Linked DNA regions of Caenorhabditis elegans. The protein of the gene in region 1 interacts with the protein of each later gene in a pairwise test. Each region holds a gene or a part of one and is shown in the gene's direction. Other genes may lie near its edges. The genes, in order: ced-5 and mig-39.

Region 1 (4,933 bases):
TGATTTTATGGCAAAATTTAAGACTTGAAATTTTCAGAAAACTAAAAATAACAAAATAGACAAAAGATGGTTGAAATTTATGCCAAATTCCTGACGAGACCCGTGACTCGGGGGCGGAGCGTCATCACCTAGATTTCAAAAAGAGGAAATTTTCTGCATCCCAATAATAACAAGAATCGTTATTCAAGTGTTGCGAAAATGTGGAGTTTCAATAAAATTAAATTTGTATTATAAAACTGAAATCTTTTATTTCGTTGTTTCAGTGTGCAATTGGTAAAACATGGGACATGAGAATGTAAAAAATGAAAAAAAAACATAATTGAAAAGCAAAACTTGTTTGATGAGAAATGAGAATCGATTTTTCACGAATTGCACAAGAGAGCGTGCTCGTCGAGTTTATAGCCTGTAAAAAACTGATAAGAGTGGGAGGTATTTTGTCTGGAATGTCTGTACCTTTGTTTTTGGCACATGGGTAATGAATGAACGTGTTTTTCTTATTTTGTACAGAAATTGCGGCACCAGTTTTGCGGCAAACTATGCACGTTTGAGACCAGAAAATATCGATTTGATTATCCAGATTTGTTAGCTGATTGCCGTGAAGATGCACATTTGGAGCCCATAAAACACATGAGCCATGGAACCATAATTCGATTTTTGTAGGTTTTTTGGCAGTCTGAAAAGTTAATTAATTTTTAGATTTTAGAGAATGGGATGGGTTGTTACAGGTTTCTTAGCCAGGAAAGATGGCCAATATTTAATTGGATTATGTGTTGCATAATATGGTCCAAAAAGTTCTCGTTTCTCTCCATTTTCGTGGCACAATGCACACACATAGGAAGATTCAATGGCGTCTGACTGCTCTTCCCACTGAAAATTAATAATAAAAATTAGATTTATCATTTTAATCGTACCTGAAAAAGCTTTGTCATGTGAAAATCCAAAGTTCGATTGACAGTTGCTTCGTGATTCCCCGAATTTTTGATAACTGATTTTCCATTTCTCACTTCAAACATCGGAGTCTCATCTTTTCTATTTGATTTATACTTTGAACCAAATTTTTGATTTATTTGAGTGGCCATATTTTTGTTCTCTTCGTCTGTAAATCAAAGTGAAGAAAAAATATTTTTATTATAAAAACCAATTTACACTCTTCATCTTCCTCATTTCTTTTCTTCTTCTTCACACGTCTCCGTTTTTTGGGTGGTGATTTATGCACTGAATTTGATGTAGATTCTAGATCATCAATTTCCATTGGTTTTCTGGAATTTTTTTTCTGATTCTATAGAAAAAAATTTAAAAATATAACACGAAGTTACCATAAAATATAGATATTCACATTATATTTATGACAAAACATGCATTTTATCGGTTTTGTTATACATTAACTATTAAAATATTAAATTTAAAACTGTTAAAAATTCAATGGAATCCAAAACGTATACGGTTATTCTGCCAATTGACTTCCAAATTCATTCTCCCGGCAACAATGGCCTAGGTTCCACAAGCATAAATCCTCGGCCACGGTTTGTGGACTCCTCTCGGATAAACAGTTACTCATCAGAAATAAACAGTTCTCGTGATATTTACGTTTGTTTCTCACAGAAACTGTCTCCGTTTTGATTTGTATATTTATATTTGATATTTTAAATTAATATAACGTAGTTTTAAATTAAATTGTCCGTTTTAATTGAAAATTCAAGCTTAAATCTTCAGATAAATGAGTTCGTAATGGCAACGACGGGTTTCTATTATGCAATCGGTTTGTTTTCACTTCGCAACTATTTAAATATCTTATTTTTCAGTTCAATACACATTTGAGGATCCGCTTCCATCTTGTGATGCTCCACGATTAGAACTTTTTATTGGCGATCGAATATGTGTTTACGGGCAGCACGGAGAGTGGGGATATGGTCGAAAATTTGACGAGAAAAATGGAAAATGTGGGATTTTTCCACTTGCCTATGTACAAATCGTTCAAAAGTCCATGTTCGTATCGACAAGTGACGGATATCTCGTTGTGGATGAAATTTCCAGAGTTATTAATGAATGGTGGACCAAAATTAAAGAATTGATGGTGGAAACGACAAGGATTGGATCATTCGAAGACTTGATGGATAGTTTTAATGAACTACTAATAATAAAAACTAAAATCGAAAGTGGTAATTTTGTTTCTTTATCAGGAATATAGTAAAATAATTATGCTTTTAGGTGGGATTCCAATTGAAGAGTTGAGCAAACTCCGATTGCGCGTTTCAAAACTGGTAGACCGTGGAAATACAATTCTTGGCCAAGATGTAGTGATTCGCAATGAAGAGGGTGTTCCGCTTGACGTTGAATCACTTTCACTTCTTAGAACATATGAAGCACACATTTCTTCGAAAGGAAGGGTCGGATCATTGATGGTATACTATTTTTTCTCTTACAAGCAATATATTTTTCAAATTTTCAGCGGGAGAAACCTGAAAATGTTACAATCAACGATAGTTTCTCATTGCTGCTCTCCATTAAATCTGTCGAACTCCATTGTAAATATTCCTGTGAAATAAGCATATCACTATATGATCTGGACAAGAAAATGTTCACCACGTAACTCACAATTTTTCTGAAAAAGACAATAGTTGCATTATTTTCAGAGATAGTTATACATTTCTCTGGAACAGCGGTAGTGGAAAACACACGGATTTAAATTTGAAAGCACTGTTCACTGATTTTGCAAAAGAAGATATTCAGAAAAAGTATTTGATGGTAACTCGAGTTGTTCATGTATCACCGATTGAATCTTCTAATGCTACGATGAGAAAGCATGGACATCACGAAGCAACTATACCAAAGACATTTTATTGTAGGCAATGTGAGTTTAAATCACAAAATGAGCTAGTGTAGCATGTTCTCCCAGTAATTTTCGCCAATTTTTGGCGAAAATTGGTTTTTTTATTTTTATTTTCGCCTATCAATATCACTAAATTTTAATGAAAAATATTGGAAGAACATGCCCACTGCCTGATTTTGTAGAATTACCGGTTAGTAATTGCCGCGCAACCCTGGTTGGAATACAAAAATTTATTGCTGCTACTTTCAGCGTACGCCTCGGACATCATGGAAATGTCAAGCATCTTTCTTGCTGGTGTTGGCCACGAAGCAAAAGAACGTGTAATTTTCCTGAATCGAGAACCAGAACTTCCATTATCTCTAAAAGCATATCACGCTACAAATCGTATACCGAAGAATTTAAGCAACGATATGGAAACAAAACTATTGATAAGTACCCAATTAGTTCCTGGAAATGTTTCTCAAATCAAGGCAAGACACCCACATTTGTTCAGTAGATGTCCAGCGGCGATTCTACGAAGAGCTGATAGAACAGCAGTTTCAATTGAAGATAGTCGAAATGAGATGTATATTACTTTAATGCAGGCTGAATTATCTGGAAAATCATCTGATCGTAACATTGAGGCACGTCTTCATGTCGTGGAATCAAATGGACATGTTATGGAAAATGTTTTTGAGACTATTTCGGTTACTGGTTCGCAACTTAGCACTGTCTACAAGAGTATTGTAGTTTATCATACTGACAAACCAATGTGGACGGAACCAATAAAAATTGCTCTTCCCTCATGTGCTTCTCATGATGTATACCTTCGGATCTTATTTTATTCGAAGAAAGCATATGACAAACCAAAACCAGAAAAAGGACCATTTGCAATTGCACATGTTCAACTCATTCGAAGTAGTGCTCTACTCTGTGATGGTGAACATGACTTGGCTGTCTACAAAATTGATAATCCAGGATCTCACTTTGATGAATCAAATGTACATTATATGAACTTACCTGATACCAGAAGAACACTCAAAGAATCAATTGGAAGCGCGAAACCTCATTCACAGGGTTTTAGTTTGAGTGATAAAAGTTTTGTGATGATATCCACTCATTCATGTTCTTCAATGTTAACTCAAAATGAGCATTTGTTGAATGTGTTGAGATGGCGTGTAAATTGTGTCAACCTTACATCTTCATTGGTGGCTCTTGCTCAACCAATTGGAGATACGGAACACGAAATGATTCGATTCTTCTCACATTTATTGGATGCACTCTTTGAAATTTGGCATGATCGTGAGACTTCGGAGAAAGTCGTTTTTGATGTTATCGTGGCGGTTTTAAGAATTTGTGGTAAGTGTACAGCTTTCTGACATTTTGTTCAGTTAGAGAAAAGTTCCGGCGAAAATATTTGTTAAGCAAATTACAATTTTTCGCTGAAATGTTTCCTGACAAAATTGAATTATCCGTCGAAAAATTGCCAGAGAACATTTGAATTCTCCGCCAAAAATGTTTGAATGAAATTTTGAAATTCTTGCCATATTTTTTCCGAGAAATTTTTCTTAAGATAAAATTTTTTTATCAAAAAAAAAACTAGCGGTGCAGCTGACCATAAATTTTTTTTTCAAATATTTCTTTTTGGATAAAGTTATTTATTTTAATATTTCAGAGGAGCCACGACACTACCCACAGGCTGCAAAAATATTCGAAGTGTATCTGAAACGATTTTCATTTACTTCAGCGGCACTGTAAGTTTTCATAGATTACACGTATAATTCAAATTCCTTTGTTTCCAGAAAAATTCTAAAGTGTCTCAATCACTATGTCATCTCGGATTCAGAAGATTCAAATGAGAAAGCGAGAAATGCATTCAAAGTTATGGGTCCTCTCTTCAAATTAGTTGTCGTGTCGAAGAAATGTGGAATAAAGTACGTTTTCCAAATTAAAAAATCAGAAATTTCATCTTTTTGATTTCCAAACTTCGCAAACCAAAACTGAAAAAATAAGCAATATCATGAAAAACCGGTTTAAGGTCACAGTTCGATTGATTCACCAGTTCACTGTCAAAATTCATTTTTTTTTGTTTTCAGATTCGAAGAGTTCGACGATTTCGAAAAG
Region 2 (5,217 bases), on another chromosome or scaffold:
GTTCATAAACTCTTTCCGTCTTTTCTTTGCTAGAGTTTCACCCAATATTCTTCCCATCTTCTTATTTCTTTTGCTCCTACCCCAACCCTTTCTCTAATATAAACATTTTTAACTTTTCTTCCCTGTCCGCTTCCTCCTATTTTCCCGCATTTTTCGCTCCTCTCTGTACTTTTTATTTTTTCTCAGTTTTCCAATTTTTCGTTCGTTTGTTCCATCACCGCCTCCTCCTTCTCGTCAGATGCTTCTATTATTAGCTGTCCTACCGTTTTGAAAGGAGGTAGAAGAGTCACCTGCCACGTCATCAATTGTATAGCACATCAGAAGAAGGTTTACCTCTCGAATATTGAGAAATAACAACAACCACTTTTTGTTTCAATTGATTCGTCGCTTCTTCCTTTTCTTTTTTGACCATCCCAAAACATATTGGATATTGAGTTGTGAGCAACCGGTGAAAGTTTTGAGAGAGAAAAACTATGAGGAATGTTGGTATTCTAGAACTTTGTTTAGAAATGTGAAATGTTCATATTCGTGACTGCCGTGATTTTGAAACTAGTAAAAAGCAGTTGTCCAGCTTTGTTCCCGTTGTAACCTTTAAAAGAAGAATTTAATACAGTTTAGTATGATCTAGATAACTAAATGAACCACACAGTTCATATTTGTTTCTCACTTGGGTGGTCGTAAAAAAGATAAAAACTGATTAAAAGTTATGCCTGCTGGGGCTTTACCACAATATATATATTTCCCTGATGCCACCTTAACCTCTACCAGGTCAAAACTTCATGCAACCCTTCAAAAAACCACCACCAGAAGCATCCCGTCTATCATTGCTAAATGTTTGGCAAAAATTATATGACCCATGGGACTGGAGAAAGGTTTGCCCTTATTTCTTGGATCCGGAAATTTTGAGAGTAGTACTCGTAACTCAAAATGAGATGGACGATGCCCTCTGGGCACTTTGCTCCTGATTTTTAGATTTTTTCAATTTATTTTTGTAAGGACCTAACAATAGAGAAACCTTAAAACTCGACGAATATTTTGAGAATGTGTCCCAAGTGTTGTGTTATCCCATACCCAAAACCCGTATTGTCCCTTCGTTTGTTTTGCAACAAACGAGCCAGCGGCTCCTCTTAAAGAGCTCAGCTCGACTCGGGCTTCAACATGAGCGCGCGCCAATTTTTGATGGATTATGTCGTTTTGATGGGTAAGAGCACCTGATGCTCCTTAGGGGGATGCGACTCGGATACACGAGCCTGAAGATGGGGAGAGTCCAGCGTTTATGGTGTGTGAGTATGATTGATGGCCTAGGTTCGTTATACACTATGACAACTCTTCCTTCTTAGTTTCGACATCATTGTGAGGCCTAAACAAAACTCTCTCTGTGATTACATCTCTTGTCTCACTTATTCCCGATTGGCTTACCGTAGTAGCTTCTTCTTGTAGGTCGCGTATAAATACTACTTGGGTGGGTACTGGTGGAATCCAAGTTTCATTTTTGTTTAAGTAAAACTTTTTTCTGTAAAACCAGGTACCTATCAGGGCCACAGAAAAGGTATCCACAACTTGTCTGGTCGATTTTCTGCCAATTCGATTCGTTGGAAATTCTTAATTATTAATTTTACGGGAAGTCGTAGTAACCAGCATTTTAAAATCTGAATTGGGTTCTACAAAAGATTAACCGGACCCTACATGACTTCAGTGAATCTGAAATCGTAGACTTCTAGATGCTCATTTCAGCTACATGCTTCAAATAGTCCATATCATTCAGTATTATCAAATCTTATTAAATTGAAAGAAATTCAGTTTTTTAACCCAAACGTTCTATTACCAGCATCTCCAAAATACCTCAATTCCTTCTCAAAAACATATCCATTCACCTATTCTCATATCCATGTCCTTCGACCATTTGTCTTTTCCTTCTTCGGGTTTTTTGTCGCAACGCCCTTTTTTGCTCATCCCAATATCCCTGTGTGAAGCATTTTTTCTCAAAAATCCAGAGAAACACAAAAAAGAGTAACCCATAAATTTGCGGCATTTCCTTCACCACCGAAAGACGAAGCCCTCATTTCCAAATAAATTCATATTTTTTTGTGGTTTCTTTTAGGTTTTGTAGATCCCGATAGCCGCCCAAATTTTCCCCATGGGACATGAGATTTCATTTGTTTTATTTCTTTACTAATTTAAATTTTTTTAAATTAGAATCAAGACCAATTTTCAGGTACTATTGCCACAATTGCTGAGATCATTGCACAAATCCCAGGAAAACCCGAAAAACGTAAGTTAAACCTAAAAACTAGAATAGTGTGTATACTATAAAACCAAGTCAGAAAATATCTATATAGTTATGATGATGTTTAGTAAATATTGAGAGAAGAAGGAAAAAAGAAGGAATGGTATTTGTGAGTGTTTTATGGGCGATTCGCGCTCCACATTTCACTCAGTACCTGACAGTTTATTGTTATTTATTTTTAGAGAAAAGTAAGAGTTTTCGAATTTATCAACTTTCAAAGGTTTTATGAAAGAAATTTTGGTATACTTATTTACCCACTGACCCACTGAGATTATTCAAAAATTTCGGATAGCTTTAGGTTTTCTTTTTACAAAATATGATATTTTGTTTTTATTACACTTTACCAGTTAAAAATGTTTCAATATACAATTTAGATTTAAACATTTATTGACTGTCAAAACTGAAAATCTTCCAACCCAAACCCTTCCAATTCATTTTCCATAACTCGCACATTGTTCTTCTATCATTCAATTTAGCAATAAGTGGCTCTCGAAATCTTTGTAGGTCCCACCAGTTGATGAGAATCCACGAACACTTTACACCCAAAGAGTTTTTAGGAGGTCTATTGATGAAAAGACACGGAGGGGCCGGATGGTTTTTGGGAACAAATGAAACCATCTGGTTTTGGTTACCACGGAGAAAGAGGGGGAAAGAGCAAGTTGGGGAAATGGGCAAAAAATAAAGAGGAAGAGCACTTCGGTGTTGGGAAAATTTGAGTCACTTTTGAGTTTTGTTAGACCAAATTTTTGCTAAATGATTTTAGGATATGGGGAGAGTATAGATAACATTTAGCATATATAGTAGGTTCATCTTCAGGTGTTCGTATAACTTTTCAATCAAATTTTGCGATTTCAACGAATTTTTTTTCTAACTGCCAATAATTTACGATCATATCAATTTCCAATAGGTTGAGCATGTTTATTTACTCAAATTTCGTTCGAGTCGTCCATTGTATAATATGAGTCAATTTTCCACCAATTTTCTCTTATTCCTCTCTCTCTTTTTCTCGTTTCCTCAATCACCCATCACTACTGTTTGAGAGCCGTCCTGTGACAATGTATGCTGACTCATTTTGTATTTTCCTCTTCCGAAAATTGGCGATCATTACTATTATTTCTGTGTACCGCCCTTGTCTCAGCCATCTCCTCCTGCTAGAATGGTTTCATGAACATTCGTATATTTAAATAAAACAGTTTAGGTTTCGAAATGAACAGTGAAGTTGTGGCCGAACAAGTTGAGATAGCCCACTTCTTTTTGGCGTCTTCTGGGGTAGATTCATATCTTTTTTATGCGTATTTTGGTGGGAGGGGGCCGAGACAGAATTCAAGATCCTCCTAAATATGTATGGTTTCTGAACCGTTGCATATTACTTTTCAAATCCATTTTGCTCTTATTCAATTATTTTCCCAATTTTTACACAACCTGTAAATAATACCACGAAGTCCTTTGAGATAACCAAACATCATAATTAAACACTCCAAAAGTTGTAAGATTTTTGTAAATTTTATGCCAAGGCCTTGGTAAATGTCCAAATTATCTAGTTTCAGATTTTTGAGAAATTCAGAGTATTGTTGCATTTTTGAATGACTTCTAGGTTTATCAGTAGCAAAAACTTTGCAATCGCCATTGATTGACTAAAATGAAAAAATTTTCAAAAAATGTTATGATATTTTTCTTTCAGTTTAAATAAACACTTTTCTCTTTAGTGCTCCTCTACTTTTAAGCATTTAAAAGTCTTATTGAACTTTCAAATTATTTATTCTTTGAAAACTTCCTCTATTATCAAAAATCAAGGGTTTCTACCACGCAAAACCAAAATAAATCAAATCAAGATATTCAAATAATTCTTCATTTTTCTTTTTCCCTTTCATTCCCATTTCCCCAAAATCCGTCGCAAAATCGGCTCTTGGACACACGCCGATCACCTCTTCTTCTTTCATCTAGAATCCGTCGTCATCCTCTCGCGTACAGCCAAGTAGCTTACTGATAAGCCAGCAGCTCCTCGAGCCGTCGGGTTTTTTTCAACCGTGTTTTTAACATTCTAGGTAGATATAGATATAACTCACCGGTATTATCGTTTCATTTTAGTATTGAAAACAAAGATTATCTTTTGGGTATAAGAAAAAATGAAATAGTAATTTTGAAGAGTGGTATTCCAATTTTTATTACCTATAGGATAATTTATTGTTTTTATTATTTTTGCTGTGAATAACAGTATTTGTCATATATTAACATCTATCAAGAAATTTCAAAAACTCTTAGACTATCATATTCTATGTTCTACAAGCATATTTTCTTGATAAGTGTGACGTCACACACGGTTTTTAAACTTATGGTAAGACTCGATTTTAATATTCAATAAAAATATCCCTGTGTTTTAAACTGCGGAGAGACCGTCAAATCACCAAGAGTATTTCAAATGCTCAATTTGTGAACTGCGCTAAAATAATTTTTTGAAAATCCGTAATTTATCTAACCATATTCCTAATTTTGGCATTTCCATTTTGAATTTTTTTCCAGTCTTTGAAATTGTTTTGCTATCACAATCAAAAAGTTTAATTGAATGTTGAAAACTACCAACTTCTAAATTGAAATATTATGTTTCTAAAGTATAATGGAATTGAATTTCATTTTCAACTTTAGTTTTATTTTTCAACAAATATCAATCTAAAGAAAAGCCTACAGGTAATCCTAGTTATCCGCTTTGCAGTTTTTGGAGAGTTATTGAATCATAAAATCTTATCAAACTGCACAATAGTTAGGAAATAGTGGAAGAAAATCAGTAATAGAAGGCATCTATGGTAGGCAAGCATTTCTTTATGCCTGCCTGCCCATCGCGTGGCCACTTACAGTTAGGCAGAAGTGTTGACACAAGGTATGAAAAATTATTACATCTTCCATCCAAAAAAACGTTATGGAATATTTTAAAA

What was found.
Region 2: the proteins of ced-5 (region 1) and mig-39 interact in a two-hybrid assay, tested with the Caenorhabditis elegans proteins (one large-scale study listed by BioGRID).

The regions. Positions count from the first base shown.
Region 1 is NC_003282.8:10,482,397-10,487,329, forward strand, and holds the start of ced-5 (Dedicator of cytokinesis protein 1), read left to right. Parts: upstream 1-1,713; 5' UTR 1,714-1,728; coding exon 1,729-1,759; intron 1,760-1,802; coding exon 1,803-2,159; intron 2,160-2,208; coding exon 2,209-2,402; intron 2,403-2,449; coding exon 2,450-2,586; intron 2,587-2,633; coding exon 2,634-2,851; intron 2,852-3,079; coding exon 3,080-4,168; intron 4,169-4,484; coding exon 4,485-4,563; intron 4,564-4,611; coding exon 4,612-4,743; intron 4,744-4,905; coding exon 4,906-4,933. Other genes in the region: F01D4.5 (PHD-type domain-containing protein), read right to left, coding at 397-413, 454-673, 724-867, 912-1,096, 1,147-1,252.
Region 2 is NC_003281.10:8,464,820-8,470,036, forward strand, and holds the start of mig-39 (Zinc finger BED domain-containing protein 39), read left to right. Parts: upstream 1-2,215; 5' UTR 2,216-2,272; intron 2,273-2,889; exon of another isoform or gene 2,890-3,179; intron 3,180-5,217. UniProt on the Caenorhabditis elegans protein: Regulates the timing and orientation of distal tip cell migration during gonadal development. May act in parallel to cacn-1 and Rac GTPases to control the anterior and posterior migration of distal tip cells.